Yarrowia lipolytica: one gene and its partners. The protein of the gene in region 3 binds, or shares a complex with, the protein of the main gene of each other region. Links are inferred from orthologs where the notes say so. Each region holds a gene or a part of one and is shown on either strand. Other genes may lie near its edges.

The links.
Region 1: YALI1_A19974g (region 3) and YALI1_B18207g share a complex: the UniProt entries of both Saccharomyces cerevisiae proteins name them as parts of the U4/U6-U5 tri-snRNP complex. The link is inferred for Yarrowia lipolytica from reciprocal best matches to the Saccharomyces cerevisiae genes SMD3 and PRP31.
Region 2: YALI1_A19974g (region 3) and YALI1_C14516g share a complex: the UniProt entries of both Saccharomyces cerevisiae proteins name them as parts of the sm core complex. The link is inferred for Yarrowia lipolytica from reciprocal best matches to the Saccharomyces cerevisiae genes SMD3 and SMX2.
Region 4: YALI1_A19974g (region 3) and YALI1_F09803g share a complex: the UniProt entries of both Saccharomyces cerevisiae proteins name them as parts of the sm core complex. The link is inferred for Yarrowia lipolytica from reciprocal best matches to the Saccharomyces cerevisiae genes SMD3 and SMD2.

Annotation. Positions count from the first base shown.
Region 1 is NC_090771.1:1,818,486-1,822,896, reverse strand, and holds YALI1_B18207g (uncharacterized protein), read right to left. Parts: upstream 2,139-4,411; coding exon 570-2,138; downstream 1-569. Other genes in the region: YALI1_B18205g (uncharacterized protein), read left to right, coding at 2,347-2,613; YALI1_B18190g (uncharacterized protein), read right to left, coding at 3,004-3,798. UniProt on the Saccharomyces cerevisiae protein: Promotes the association of the U4/U6.U5 tri-snRNP particle with pre-spliceosomes to form the mature spliceosomal complex.
Region 2 is NC_090772.1:1,449,838-1,453,150, forward strand, and holds YALI1_C14516g (uncharacterized protein), read left to right. Parts: upstream 1-1,806; coding exon 1,807-1,836; intron 1,837-1,889; coding exon 1,890-1,961; intron 1,962-2,457; coding exon 2,458-2,586; downstream 2,587-3,313. Other genes in the region: YALI1_C14498g (uncharacterized protein), read right to left, coding at 1-42; YALI1_C14500g (uncharacterized protein), read left to right, coding at 239-868. UniProt on the Saccharomyces cerevisiae protein: Plays a role in pre-mRNA splicing as a core component of the spliceosomal U1, U2, U4 and U5 small nuclear ribonucleoproteins (snRNPs), the building blocks of the spliceosome.
Region 3 is NC_090770.1:1,995,697-1,998,965, forward strand, and holds YALI1_A19974g (uncharacterized protein), read left to right. Parts: upstream 1-1,693; coding exon 1,694-1,738; intron 1,739-1,838; coding exon 1,839-1,899; intron 1,900-2,315; coding exon 2,316-2,527; downstream 2,528-3,269. Other genes in the region: YALI1_A19965g (uncharacterized protein), read right to left, coding at 1-749; YALI1_A19989g (uncharacterized protein), read left to right, coding at 3,181-3,269. UniProt on the Saccharomyces cerevisiae protein: Plays a role in pre-mRNA splicing as a core component of the spliceosomal U1, U2, U4 and U5 small nuclear ribonucleoproteins (snRNPs), the building blocks of the spliceosome. Also binds telomerase RNA and is required for its accumulation.
Region 4 is NC_090775.1:978,579-982,297, forward strand, and holds YALI1_F09803g (uncharacterized protein), read left to right. Parts: upstream 1-1,803; coding exon 1,804-1,817; intron 1,818-2,504; coding exon 2,505-2,838; downstream 2,839-3,719. Other genes in the region: YALI1_F09788g (uncharacterized protein), read right to left, coding at 1-241; YALI1_F09802g (uncharacterized protein), read right to left, coding at 544-1,638; YALI1_F09833g (uncharacterized protein), read right to left, coding at 3,091-3,719. UniProt on the Saccharomyces cerevisiae protein: Plays a role in pre-mRNA splicing as a core component of the spliceosomal U1, U2, U4 and U5 small nuclear ribonucleoproteins (snRNPs), the building blocks of the spliceosome.

The DNA of each region.
Region 1 (4,411 bases), on a different chromosome or scaffold from region 3:
TACATATGATAAATGAATGAAAATACGCGGAATTTTGAAAAGGAAAACACCACCCCCTCATAATACCTCGAACCTCTGTTTAGGCGGCATGTGTACCTTTTATGGCTTCCCTCACGACACACGGTCAGCTCCTTGACTTGAGAAATAGAGGGCCCTGAATGCAGCATATTATAGTTGGATGAGTCTAACGCACATTAGTTGAGAGTTGAATGGAGGGGGGCGTTGGTTGGATTTTGGGCACACAGGAATGAGAAGCAAGGAAAGAGAGAGCGAGAAGTGTTGCAGTAGTGAAATACTCGTATATTTCATCTCGTATTTTTTTATAAAATACGTTCTTTGTCGTACCGCTGCAATGCTGCCAATATGCTGATCTGTCTGCGTAGAGAAGCTGTTGTACCAGACGAGTATGCACGTATAGCATGTGTCGATAACGGCTGTAAGTACGAGTATGTATTCGTACGGTACAGTCATATATTCGAGTACGTGTATATGTGTCGCACATCATTAGTCGCGCGTACGCTATAGGTAGGGTCAATAAATTATCATTTATGTTACATGCTGAAGCAGTATCAGTTTCCATCACCCTCCTTCAACTTCTTGGTAGTGCCACGGTCCTTCTGCTCGTCAGCTTTTCGCTTAGGGCCTAGTTGCAATCCGCTGCCCCTCTCCAGCTGTGTGAACGTGCCTGAGGCAAAGAATTTGTTATCCTGGGTGGCCGTCTTGGGTCCCTTGGGTTTACTAAGCTCCATAGACTGCGCCGTAACAGACAAAGACGACTGAAGACCGTCGATCATAGGTTTGGGACGGTTCTTGAGCATCTCCAAACGCGATCGAGCCCCCTTGGACATTCTTGCACGGGTCTTGGAATCAGCTTCAACTCTTCGAGCTGATCCCAGGCCAGCAGCAGAATCCAACATTCCCAGACCCACGGTCTCTCCGTAAACGTCCACAGTCTTTTCGGCCTCTCCGAACGCCATTCGGTTGGCAGCAGCAGCCATTTCACTCTGCTTGAACTGCTCCTTGAACTTTCTGATCCGCTTTCCACCTCGCTTCTTTGAGGGTTTGTCGATAGGAACAGGTAGGGCCTTGACTCCCTTTATCTCCGGGGGCTCTGCTAGTTTCTGCAACTTTCCTTCAATCTCCTCTCGCATTTTAGATCCGAACGATCCATCTGTAGATGCTCTAGAGGCATCCAAACGGGCTGCAAGTACTAGCTTGGCTGACAACATTCGCATGGCCTGCTTTCTGATATCAGCAGGACTCTGTTGTACCACATCCGAGTAATACAAGTAACCCTGCTGTCTTTGTGCTTGTCCAAACCCCACCGCAGTCTCTCGCTTAGCTCCTAGAGAAGGTATGTTGCAAGAGGGGGTCTTTGCCAGACCGTTGAGACCACCCACAAATCCAAGAATCTGAGCTGCACAATGAGCACCAATCAGAATGGCCGTATTGGGTGCAACGAGGTTCAGTTTCGAGGAGACATAGTTAGTGATTTGGCGCTTAGCAGCGTCCAATGCTATCAGTAGCTTACAAGCTTCGTTTATAGTGGCCATCTCAACGTCCGAGAGTCGTCGTCCCCCTTGGTCCACAGTCATGGTAATAGTCATCATCACTGACTTGTGCACCACCTGTTTTAAGTGCGGGCTATCTGACTTTGCCACTGCTGCGGGATCGTTTCCAAGAATGGCCACTACCTGTGCATGCTGTAGTGGGTTGGCGATGAGTGATCTGAGCTCGGGGTACCGCTGGCTGTATCTAGTGGCGATGAAGTTGTGCAGCTCAGCTACTGCGTTGTCGATTTCCACCGAGTACTCGTTTGCTCCCACAATCACATGGTACTCTGGATTCTCTTCTAGATTTGATGTGAGTGCGAGAGTTGACTGAGTGGCACCACTTTCGTACAGAGAAATGCTTCTGAGTTGTGGCAGAAGTCTGGGGACCATTGCTGCCGAGTTGGTGGACCCCAGCAGGTCCAGGTTGATGTTATTGAGTGGAGTAGGCGACAGAGGTTCTGTGGTTTCGGTTGCAATGACTTCAGTTGGGATCTGGGAAGTCGCATCTTCCATCACCTCGTCCACCTCTTCATTTTCTTCGTCGCTGGAGCCAAAATCGGCCAGAATTTCGTCAGCCAGGCCCATTATGTCGTTGTGGGGGTGAGCTCAGCCTTTTGATGGTGATACAGTAATTGAGGGAGGATGCAATATTTAGAGTTATGATCTTTTCGAACACTTAGAGTTCCGATATGCAGTGGACTTCGAAGTGCAAAGACACCGTGAAACGCGTTATCACAACTACAAGTATTCCTGAACGACACTCAAGTTCCTCTGGAAGCCCTGTAAAAAAAACATGAGCAGAGTCAGCATGTTTCCTACGGAAGACAAACGGTCTTATTTCGAGCGACAACGGGACCAGTACATCAAAAACATCTCGGCCAGCATGGAAGACGTGCTCAACAACCTGAACGCGCTGAACCGTTCGTTGGAACACACTGTGGGCCTGTCTCAAAAGTCTGAAGAGCTCGCAGAAATGTGGAGCCACTTTTACAACACCGTGAATGAGGATCTGGTGAAGACGGAGGACGGAGACATCGAGGTAGACACTACCAAAGAGTAGTGTAATTTGGAGTTGCGAGTTACGAGTAAGGGCCTGATGGACTTGCAGACGATTATTTATAAATGTATTCTAATGAACTGATGAGTGCTTTGAGATGAGTAAATGGCCGGTTTTCAGATTTCGAGTTATGTGATCTAGGTCTATAGTACAAGTATCTACTTGTAGGATTAAAAATTCTACTCTACAGTTTGTACCTCCGTAGATGAACTGGGCCACTGGCACAGTATGCACAAGTAGAGCTACCACACAACTCCTACATTATATGTACTCGTACATATAATAATACGGCTGCTACCGTTCATTGCCGTTACACAGACGTCGCGCCCTCTTGTATCCTTCTCATCATAATGCATTACTATATCACCCCTTGTTAGCTGTGGTTGATGCTTTCTACAACACCAAGCACTGGTGTCGTTTCTTCTTCTTCTTCTTCTCGATCGGTTCCGAGGCTGGTCTGGATTGTAATTTTGGACGTGTGGCTGACGCTGCTGCTGCCGCTGCCCCTTTACTTTGTGATCGCACAGGTTTGGTTCTCTTTGATCTCCCTTTTTCCTTCAGCACCGCTCCCATGGCGACTGCAAACACCTCTCTAACGCCAGACATGTCCTTTGATGAGCACTCCATGTATTTGTACACTCCGAGTCTCTGTGCCATGGATTTGCCCTGCGTCGGCGTGATGTGGCTCAGTCCCTGAGCTTTGAGATAATGGGCGGATGTGGAATCGGCTCTGAGATCGGTTTTGAGACATACCAGCACCACTGGCGTGTCTGGACAGAAATGCGTCACCTCAGGGAACCACTTTTCGGCCACGTTTTCAAACGATGACGGCGAGTCCACGCTGTAGCACACCAGCAGCACATCCACGTCTGGGTACGAGAGTGGTCTGAGCCGGTCGTACTCCTCCTGTCCTGCTGTGTCCCATAACGCCAGCTCGATAATCTCTCCTTTGGGCCCCTTGAGCGTGGTTATGTAGTTCTCAAAGACCGTCGGTATATATCGCTCGGGAAAGACACCCTGCGAGTACGACACCAGCAGACATGTTTTTCCACAGCCTCCATCTCCTACCACCACCACCTTGATGTGGACGTCTGGTTGTGCGGATTCCGCCGTTTCGATGAACTCGAAGCTGCTCGGGTTGGCGGACTCGGATGTGCGGTAGTAGCTGAGTCGCTTGAGGGACGACATTTGCTGTTTTTGTGGCTCTTTAGACGGTCGAAAATAGTGTTGTTTGTTGGAGATGTGCGAATTACCTTTTGTTTGGAAGATCTGTCTTCAGGGGGCTTGTGGAGCTCGACACAAAGACAAAGCGCGTTAAAGGTGAAGAAGTGGCGATTCAAACGTGTTTTTTTGAAAGAGCCGTACACGCGGTGAAAAAATACACGCTCATACACCTTACAAGTACGGCCCGACTCCACTATATATCCGTTGGGGCCTGTCTGTACATGGACCTGCATAAGACGGATCCCACCATATGCCGAACTCTGTGGTCTAAGTTGAACAGGGCTGAGTACAGTGTGTATATCCTGGTAGCACTGAGCGACAGCGGGGCCGAAAGAGGACCAAAAAGCGCCCACATCTGGGAAACATGTGAACTGGAAGCCCTTTGCTTTGTCCATTGCATATTGTACAGTGCTTCTGCTTGTGCTCTCACTCGCACTGCATATCTGTTGGTCGCCTGTCGTTCATAATTAAGGGCTGGTCGTAGCTCGTCGTACCTTAGACTAAGCATATCTGGGCGGGATGAAACGGGCTGACTTATTAATTAACTTGGGATGGGAAAATCTGGCACGTTTTAGCC
Region 2 (3,313 bases), on a different chromosome or scaffold from region 3:
CCGACCGAAGCTCGGTTGGACGAGACTCAAGGAGTAGAGCATCCTCGGCACCCCGAGGACATGATTGGCTAGTCACAGACGAGTTGAACAATAATAACGACATGTCAAACCAGCAACTAAAGTGGATAGTTCTGGTGGACACAGATGCAGGGACCAGGATCACAGCAAGGGTATATGAACAGCGTCGGGGAAGATGTGAGATGTGGTCGGACATCGAGTTTTCTTGGGAGTCGCATACATGTACGCAGTCACCCCCACTACCACATGGAACACTGTACCGCAAGGACACTGTAGTTCCATGAGACATACCTGGATTCAGGAAATGGTTGTACGAGGAGACCACAGTCGAGATACGAGGCACTGGCATCAACAGCTCCGACACAAACCACTGGCGTCAGCTGTCGACACCATGGCCGCCATGTTTCTGTGTTTTGCTACCGTTGCCATGTCTCTCTGTCATCAACACCTCGCCCCTGTGCACTCCGTCATCAACACCTCGCCCCTGTGCACTCCGTCTGTGTCACTAACCCCCCAACGTCATACTCACTTTCAATACGGTTCTGATGATGAAGAGGAATTGTCGTCGACAGTGTCCCCCAAGTTTAGTGGTTGGCGGTGCATAAAGTTTGTGTTAGTGTCGACAAAAGGCCGATTTGGCACTAGCGGAAAAGCGCCGATGAAGAGACGTTTTGAGCGCCTAATTTTGACACAACGACTCCAAAGGCCCGCAGCTGTGTTTCGCCGTTTTCCGAATGCCGACATCTGTCCTCAAAGGCCCTATTCGACGACCTTCAACAGCTCCCCGCCACTGCCGCAAGATGCCAATATAGTTTTCGTATCTGACAGAAAGTATCACGGGCAGGAATAGGACCCAGTCATAACAGACACTTATAACGTCGCCGAGAGAAAGGCGAGACGAGATCCAAGATGACCATGACACACTCGAAAACGGGCGACTCCCGGTCACCGGACAACCCCCCCCCCCCAGAGAGTCACCCAAACATCCTTCGATCGCGGCACCTCCCAAATCGTATCGAAAAACCAACCGAAACTCTGTTCAAACTGCATCCTCAAACAAGAAACAAAAGTGATTTTTACAGCTTCAGAAATCCAGAGTGAAGAGCTGAGATGAATACAAGAACAAGACAATAAAACTGATATTGGCACATTTAAATACAACCCTCCACTCCGAGCCCCACTCAATCACGTGACCCCAAATTCCGGTCCACCACTCTTCTTGGTCAAATCACCTCGCACAATCGTACATATCAAATGCAGTTGTCCACCCACGTGTTGGCTCACCACATTCATGATTGGAGGGAGGACGCGACGACATCGGAGGGACCGTGAGAAGTGAGGTTAAGAGCACAAAAAAGGGGGATTATTAAGTACTTTTGCTGATGAATCCCAAATAGAAGGAGTTGATTTCCCCTGTTATTTTTCCTCCATTTCTGATCTCCTATCTTTCCGGACTTATCATATTTCAAATTAAAAATTTAGAAACATCGAAACTCCAACTATTTTTTATTTTTTATTGTTCTAGCAGTGAATTTTATCGAAACTAAAACAATTATAAAAAATCACACACTAATTAAAATCAATAAAAACACTCAACGAAACCAAACAAGAGAACAAAACTACAGCATTGCTCGTCAAACCACTACAAAATCCATATATATCACGTGACTCCCTTACCCTTCTCTCTCCCACCAACACTCTGCTGACTAACAAACTCTAGACTGCAGAAAACTTCACGTGACGGCTCCATCTCATCTCATCTCACCAGCACCACCACATTACACAAGAATGGGAACCAGCGTTCCGGAGCTGAAAAACGTGAGTACGGCAGCTAGCCAGCGGGATTATTTTCGGTCACGTGACTAACACAGTACATGGACAAGCGTCTCATTGTCCATCTCAACGGCGAGCGTAAGATCATTGGTGTTTTGCGAGGATATGATGTGAGTATTGAGGAAGGAGAGTACGATGATGACCGAGGTACTGATGGATAGTCAGATGGAGTAGTGACAGAGTCGAGCTGTTTTGACTAGCGCTGGATTGAGATCTGAGATGTGTCTCTACGTCTAGAGACTGACAGGTAGAACGAATCGACTCAACCAGAGCTCTACCACAGAGATATATACCTGGTGGTTGGACTACTGTCAACAAACTGGATATGAGTTAGCTGGAGACAACTGGACCTCCGCGAATGCCGACACATGTCATTTCAGCTCGTTTCCTACTCGGTCAATTCTTCTCACATGTCTGGCTGGTCAACAAAATCCTGCTCTGTCTGAGTTGTTTCTGAACATCATCTGTCTCAATGAACAGCCCGGGCCTTTAATGACTGTCTTCAACGAATCTAGACACAACGGATTCCGCGCATTATTGGTCTGTCAGCCGATTTTCGACTTCATTCATCTATGATGCTCCCACTACCGCTACGTACTAACTCAGGCATTCCTAAACATTGTTCTGGAGGAATCTGTGGAGGAAAAGGCCAATGGAGACAAGGTACAGGCCGGCATGGCTGTGATTCGAGGCAACTCTGTGGTCATGCTGGAGGCCCTTGAACGAATCCAGTAGACCCCGTCTACCTTGTATAATAAATTATTCAGTATTAGCGATGTGAAGGAGATTCTCTAGAGCTGAGGGACACTAGCGCAGTCAGAAGTAACCCCGCTGGAACTTGAGAGAGAAACGTAAGTAGTACCAGAAGAAAGCTAAGACGACTGGCCCGGTTCGGTTCAGGGCAACAGATCTGGAAAAAGGGTTCCTTGATAGCTCCAGTTCATTTCTGATTGGCCGCCGGTTGAACACTCGGGACCGAGTCTGCTCCACTGGTACATTCGAGTCGGTATTCCTGCTTGCCTGAGAAAGAAAGACCTTGAGGATCTTCTTGGTATCCTTGGCGCACCGGTGCTGGGAATCGATGGAAGTCACCGTCGGCTCCATATAGCCCAAGTCCACTCGGGATTAGAAACAGCTGTAGCAACAGAAATCCCACTTTGAATGTCAGTGAGACCCTCAAGCAATTTTGGCGGAACCAACAGCAATCTCAGCAGCGCCGAAGTAGGAGATCGCCTAAGAACTAAAGAGGGGAGGCTGGCCAATCCATGAGAGCACGTGATAAAATTCAAAGCGGTCACATGTTGCAGCTCTAGGCGAGCACGTGATGACCAGGACGACAAATGAAAGGGTGAAAGAGAGAAGAGGAAGATTCGAAGCATGACAATGACAAACAATCTTCCCTCAAAGTCTCGTGATGAGAAAATCCCACAATCTGTTCCAAATGGTCCAGCTGGTTTCGAGA
Region 3 (3,269 bases):
GGGTCAGGAGGAGTGGCTGACAACATGGCAGCTCTTCCGTTATCGGCACCAAACTCCTGATCTACGTGTTCTTCACGCTCAAAGAACTTGGTGTAGACGGGAATACCGTCCTGCAGGTGGGCAGAGATCTTGCCAGAGTAATAGTAGGCATGTCCATTGGCGTTTGTCACAATGATTTTTCTGTAATTTGGGCTGGATCCGAGCTGAACAACGATTCCGGTGATGGGTGTCACCACGTGGCTATCGGCAGCTTTGAACTCGGCTACCTTGCGCACGTATCTGTCTTCCCGCTTGAAGTACTCGTCCGAGAACTCCAAGCATGTCTCGTAGACGCAGCCGTCTGCCGTTCCCAGTAGCACCTCTCCTGAGCTCAGAGAGCTTTCGATGGGGGACCATGCCACGCATGTGATTGCCAGGTCTCTCAATCGGCCCAGAGACTTGACCTTTGTCGTTTGGTAGTTGAGCACATAATTGTCGCGGGTCTTGGTGGCGATGAGTAAGTAGGAGCCGGTGGGGTCGAGAAACAGGTTCTCAATGTCACATCCGCCGTCCTTGACGTCCACGTCATCCACGCTTTCGGGGTTGTCGAGGTCAATTCGAATGATTCGCCCAGACTTGAGCGCCAGACAGAGAGTGTTGTTGGCCACCGCCAGAGCCACGATCGACGAGATGGCGAACTGGAACTGCACGGGCTCGACCGCAAACTTTTCGCTTTCCACAGCTCGGTTAGGTTCCGGGGGAAAGTCCATGCTGGTGCGATAATTACTTGTAGGGCTGGTGTTGGTGATGTGGAGCTGAGCTGTGCATGCAGATGTCCAGCGAGCTTAATGGAGGGTAGTTGGATGGAGTTCCATAGGACCTACAAAATGTGAATACAGTATTTGTATGAATGCTGGGAAGTAGATTATCTGTAGAAACATTCATGCTGATTAAGGGAGATGTGAGAATTACTTCTCTCATGGTCAGAAAGTTGACGATTTGCTTTTCCCAGCATGTTTCGGCCTGGCGCTATATCATCCTGGATATCTGATCTCTGTACATGGCTGATTAACGTCAGTTGATAGTCACCTTAAAATGTGAACAGGGGGATAAGACAGGCCAAAAAATTACATACAGTATAATTATACAGTAGCTACTTGTACTTGTACTTGTATAATTAAATGAATGTATATGCAGAAAAAAAAAATTGTACAATATACAGAATGTACAGTACAATACATACTTATATTATGTTATAAAAATTGTACAATTCACTTGTACAATATATGATGATACTGTATATAAATAAATAAAAAACCACCACGTAAAAACAAGACGATATAAAGACAACAATGTAGCCCAGTAATAAAAAAAGATGGTAATTTAGAAGAATGAAACACTGCTGAAAAAGAGATCAGACGAATTATCTAATTACAAGTGAACATACCATAGCTACAATAGTCACAAACTGGAACCCTTTTTCGTTCTTCTTCGTCAACTAATATTGACAGGAACTTGTTTATCTTGTCATAATCACGGAGAGCTCTTTCTCACCAATAATTCGGTTAAACGAAGCTTGTACCCCCAACAGTCAGCCATATATCGCATTTCGTAGCACTCTTCCCTATTCTAAAAGTTTAGCCTCGCCACCACTCCTCGTGTGCTACACCAACTCTATCCCGATGAACATTTCTGCAGCACCACACATCACACTATGGGAGCTGGCGGAATTCCATTAAAACTCCTCAGCGAGGCTCAGGTGAGTAAAGAAAAACAGAGGAGGAGTTGACATGATGCAGCAAATGGCGTATGGGCACGACTTTTGTGTCGCCACACACCCCAGAACATAACTAACACAGGGTCATGTTGTCACCGTTGAGCTCACTTCAGGACACACTTATCGGGGAAAATTGATTGAAGGTGAGTACAGAATAAGGGTATTGTGGCAACTTGAGGGATGTCAGCGGAGTCAGGACCTCGCTTCAGCTTGGTGTTGCTCGCTCGCTCAGAATCTCGCGAAGCTGGGTATCCATGTGATATTAAATTAGCACCATGTGATTGTGCCGCAGAGACCGAATTGTTCGTGGAGGTTAGACGACAGATAGGGCAAGCTGCTGAACGGAGCTTCAATGGAGCGGTTTACGCGGAAAGATGGACCATTTGTTATGTGTCGCTGCATTGATGGAGTTGAAATCGACCGTGGCTTATCAGAGGACGACCATAAGCAAGCATAAACGTTTCATTTCAACAAACGAGATCATGCGGCTCGCAGCTGTTTCTCAGAAACCTGGATATACTGCCAAACACTTTCCCCTTAGACCACCATACTAACTCAGCGGAGGATAACATGAACGTGCAGATTCGAGACGTGACCGTCACTGCGCGAGGAGGCCGAGTGTCGCATCTCGAGCAGGTTTACATCCGAGGATCCCACGTGCGGTTCTTTTCCATCCCCGAGATGCTGAAGAACGCGCCCATGTTTCGGCCTCAGACTCTGGCTGCTGTGCGAAGCAGCAGAGGCCGGGGCGGACGGGGACGAGGAAGATGATGTATGTATTTGCTGGCTAGATGTAATGATGAATGTAAAATAGATATTGCGAGCACGAGCACGATAGTACGAGTACAGCACAGGTATCGGTACTGTACTGTAACTTCTGTGGGAATTTTGTCTACAGTAGCAATATTGTAGGCCAAGTAAATATGGTCATGATAGAGTAATTATCAGGCTGGAAGAAAAAACGAAGGCGAGGGGTCCGTATAATGAGGGAGTACGAGACCAAATGGGCACGTATAATACTCTTAAGGTCTTATAATTCATCCATTACTATTTTTAAGACCTCGAATACATCTCAAATCATACAAATACATTCCCTAAATTTTCTTCACATTTCATCTCATCTGCAACTAATTAGTGGGGTTAACCCTAATGGTGTTTCTTGACTGTGTGTCAATCATTCATAGTCCCCAAATTGCTCCGAAAGCGATATGTTTTCGTTAAATAATTCACTGAAACCAAAAACCCAGGCTTCATTAAACAATTAATCATTTCATCAGTTCCTATACCTCCTTTTTCTCCGTGTCCTGTCATCTCAGCTTTTCCGGGGCTTAAGCACACGTAAATACCTCCCAACACCTTAATACGTTATCACGCATTCTGGAGTCGGCTACACGACTAACACATCACCAAACTCGCTCCCAAAAATGAACAAGGCGGCCATCTACGCCAAGTACAACATCTCCGAGGACTATCCGGAGACGTTTACGGAGAGCGAAAACTTTGATCTGTCGGT
Region 4 (3,719 bases), on a different chromosome or scaffold from region 3:
GGAAAGCCGTCTGTAATTGGCGATTCGAGGTGATTTCCTTGTTCAGCTGGGCTCCAATTTCTCCTTCCAGTTGCTGAGTATCTATCTTGTCGTTGTTGCTGGTGAGCAGCTGCTGTACGAGCTCCTGAGCGTCGTTTTCGGCACTCTGAGAGCTTTCTAGCTTGCGTATCTCCTCTTCAAGAGCAGCCACGCGCTTTCGATACAGCTGGACGCGTTGCAATAAGCCCTTTTGTGTCGTCATGAAGTGTGGAACTGAAGTCACAAGAAATCAAGACACGCGTGGCATGATGCATGAAATATGCACAACACCAGATTTATATAATTTCCGTCTAAAATTTGTAGAAATGCCAAACTACGAGAGTAGCCATTAATTGGTGATAAACAACCTGTAATCTGGTTCAAAATACCCCTCTCTCTGTCTGCTTGTAGTATGTCATAATACTACCCATTCTTCCGATTTTCCCCCATCCAATTCACTTGATAAGCAATAAGCAATAAACAACAAAAAAACAATGCAATAAATAGATACATACCGGGGGCTCTCTACTTTCCGGTCAACTTCCAACCTCTTCCCACAGGGGTACTGAAACATTCACAGTGGTAGCCTCCATAGAGATCCTTCAGAATCCATTCGAAAGAAACGCCCTTGAAGCCCTTCCAGCGGTTGCTATTAGCACTCCACTTCTTCTCCATCTGCTCCTCTAACATTTCCTGGTACGACTGCTTTTTGAGCATGTTTATAAACCATGTTCGTGCAGAGGCACCCAGTTTCAGAAACACACCCACGTTAGGCACACAGACATTGTACATTTGAGCCTCTTGAGGATTCATGGTCAGAAACCCGCTCTTGACGAGAGTAGAAGCATTGGGAAGTTCATCGAAGCCAAACTCCACCCGACTTGGATGGGACAATAAAAGGATCTTGAATTCCTCCAGAGCCTTCTTCTGATTTGCCACCTTGCACTCTTGTATGCTCTGATCCAGCAGCTTGTAGAACTTGTCTGCCTCCATTAGAAGCACGCCTTCATCAACGTTATTGACTGCCACTTTTCGCAGTAGTCCTGCCTCGACGGCGTCGTTCACCCGTCTCAAGACCAACGTAGGCTCTCTCAGGCTGTATGCGTGCACATGGGTCATCTTGACTAGAGGAGGCACGTTCTGACGAGCTTCATAAGTAGGAGCTGTGTACGCCTTTCCGATTGGAATCTCCTCGTACATGTTATCCAGAATCTCTCTCACCACCTGCACAATGTCGTCTCCCAGACTGTCCTGCTTCTCCTGGTTCTTCCACTTGAGATCGCTCTTGAGAGACGTCACTGGCAGCTTCTCCTGTTGGTTTGCCTTCAGGTAGTCGGCCTTTTGTTTTTCGAGCTGGTTGATGAACGCCGCCTGGCCGGGCATTAGAGGCGGCTCCTTGGCCCGTCGTTTGCCCACTCTATAAGACGTCGATGCCGTGAACTTCATGTTGTGTGTGTGTTGATATGAGGGTGCGTGTAAGATGTGTGTTGAGATACGGTGAGGTGCATGAGCAGAACGGTGGCAAATCAGGACATGAGATGTGACAGAGAGGCAGTCAAATTGCAGTGTCGGTCTTGGTGTCTTTGTGTCTGTGTGTGGTACTCGCTGGCTTCTTCTCATGAGGGCTGGATCAGACTCAGTTATTTTGGAATCTGGTCACATGACTGCATAAACTTTAAATTCTGCCGAACGCAAAAATCATCACTCCTTCACTATGCATGAAATCCTATCACCGTGTGTACATCACCACTTTACACCACGCAAAACCACATAAAAACAGCACAGATGGACAACCCAGCGTGAGTATAACGAGAAAAGCGGGATTTGGGGAGGATGATCAAACGAGACGGACCAAATGATGGCTGGAATACGTGATGGATGATGCGATTGTGAAGTGATTTGTGGAACCCAAGAATGAACGGTGTGCGACAAGCAGACACTGTTATTGTTTGGACCCGAACGGAGAGTTGTGACAGCGTTAAGTGAAGGGATTGACTTTTTGAGAAGCTGTGAATGCCTTAATCAACTTCTTTACTAGGTTAATAGTCTCATGTAACAGTCAGATGAAAGCATGACTGCCCAAGACGCACGCCCGCAATCACTCCTACCACTCCGAACGACATCCCTAACATGGCACTTCGCGAACGGCACTGTGAGCACGGTATCTTGGTTGTAACGTTCACTGCGGATTGTCTCACGATTCATGACACACGAGCATGAAACAATAAGCAAGATGAATGGTACAAACATCAGCAAACAGCAGGATGCTTGACTGGCGGTCACACAGACATATATGGGGGACAGTTATACCACCGTCTCCCTAGTTTCGCCATTGTTCAACATGCCTAATCTTGGCTCTATTCATCATCCTTGATTGTGCCTGACGTCCGATACAGACAGACCAGACATATCCTCAGGCGCACAATGCATCTTCTACTGTTGTCTACCAGACCTGCGATCCTCACACCCGTCTTATACTAACCCAGTGAACTCCTAAACAAGGACAAGTCCACTCTCACCGACGTGGAGCTCCAAAAGCTCGAGGAGTACGAGTTCTCACATGGCCCCCTGTCGCTGCTGCAGCGGGCAGTACAGAACCACACACAGGTGCTGATATCGTGCCGAAACAACAAAAAGCTGCTGGCCCGAGTCAAGGCGTTTGACCGGCACTCCAACATGGTGCTGGAGAACGTGAAGGAGATGTGGACGGAAAAAACGAAAACCGCCAGCGGCAAGCCCGGCAAGACCGTCACCAAGGATCGGTTCATCAGCAAAATGTTTCTGCGAGGCGACACCGTCATTCTCGTCGTTTCTGCATGAAAGGGAGGTTGTATAGTAATTATTTATGCATTTGAAGGAGGGGGTACTTGTAGATGTGGCTGTAAAATGGACATCCACCACCGCTGTATTAGCATCGCGCATTGAATAAAATAAATAGGCAGTAGGCATATATACGTTAGTCCCGTAACCATTTTAAGCGGCTCTGGTTGGTCTACTACTTGGTCAATGAGACTCTTGATAGTGGTGGTAATAGGGAAGGGTTGCCGTCAATTGCACTCTTCATCGCACTCCTCAGAAGTGTTTTGCATCGCCCGGATAACACCTCTTCATTACCTCGGTCATCTCAAAGCGATACTCCTCCTTATTCCATCCCCTGAACATGAGACACAGTCCATGGAGATGCGAGAATGTGTCCATGATGTCCAACCCTGAAGTCTCGTCCACAACCACCAGATTGGACTCTGCAAACACCCTCTTTTCCCCAACTCCATCGACCACCACCTGGTAGTATGCCTCTGACTCCTCCATGCCCACGTCGATCTCTCGGTTGGGAATCTGAGCTGTTTCTTCATAAGCTGTTTCGGAATTCACAAACCACGAAACGACAATGCCATAGAGATCCAGACGAGTATGATGCACCACCTGACCGACATAGAGATTGACATGCTTACTGTGTGAGTCTCGAGACTTGACCGTTCGTAGAACTGGATCCAACTGTTCCAGAAGCGTCACCTCTGTGCTGTCGGTTGCAAACACTCGGTTAATGTCCTTCAACATGACCAGCACGTCCAGAGGGTAATATTTACGCAGAAACACTTGGAGCTGTGTCTTGCGGGTGCTGTCCATGTGCTGTGGCATAAAAGCTGCCATCAGAGTGTACATCAGGTAGTAACACTCAGTCGGAGAAGGCACTCCTCTTC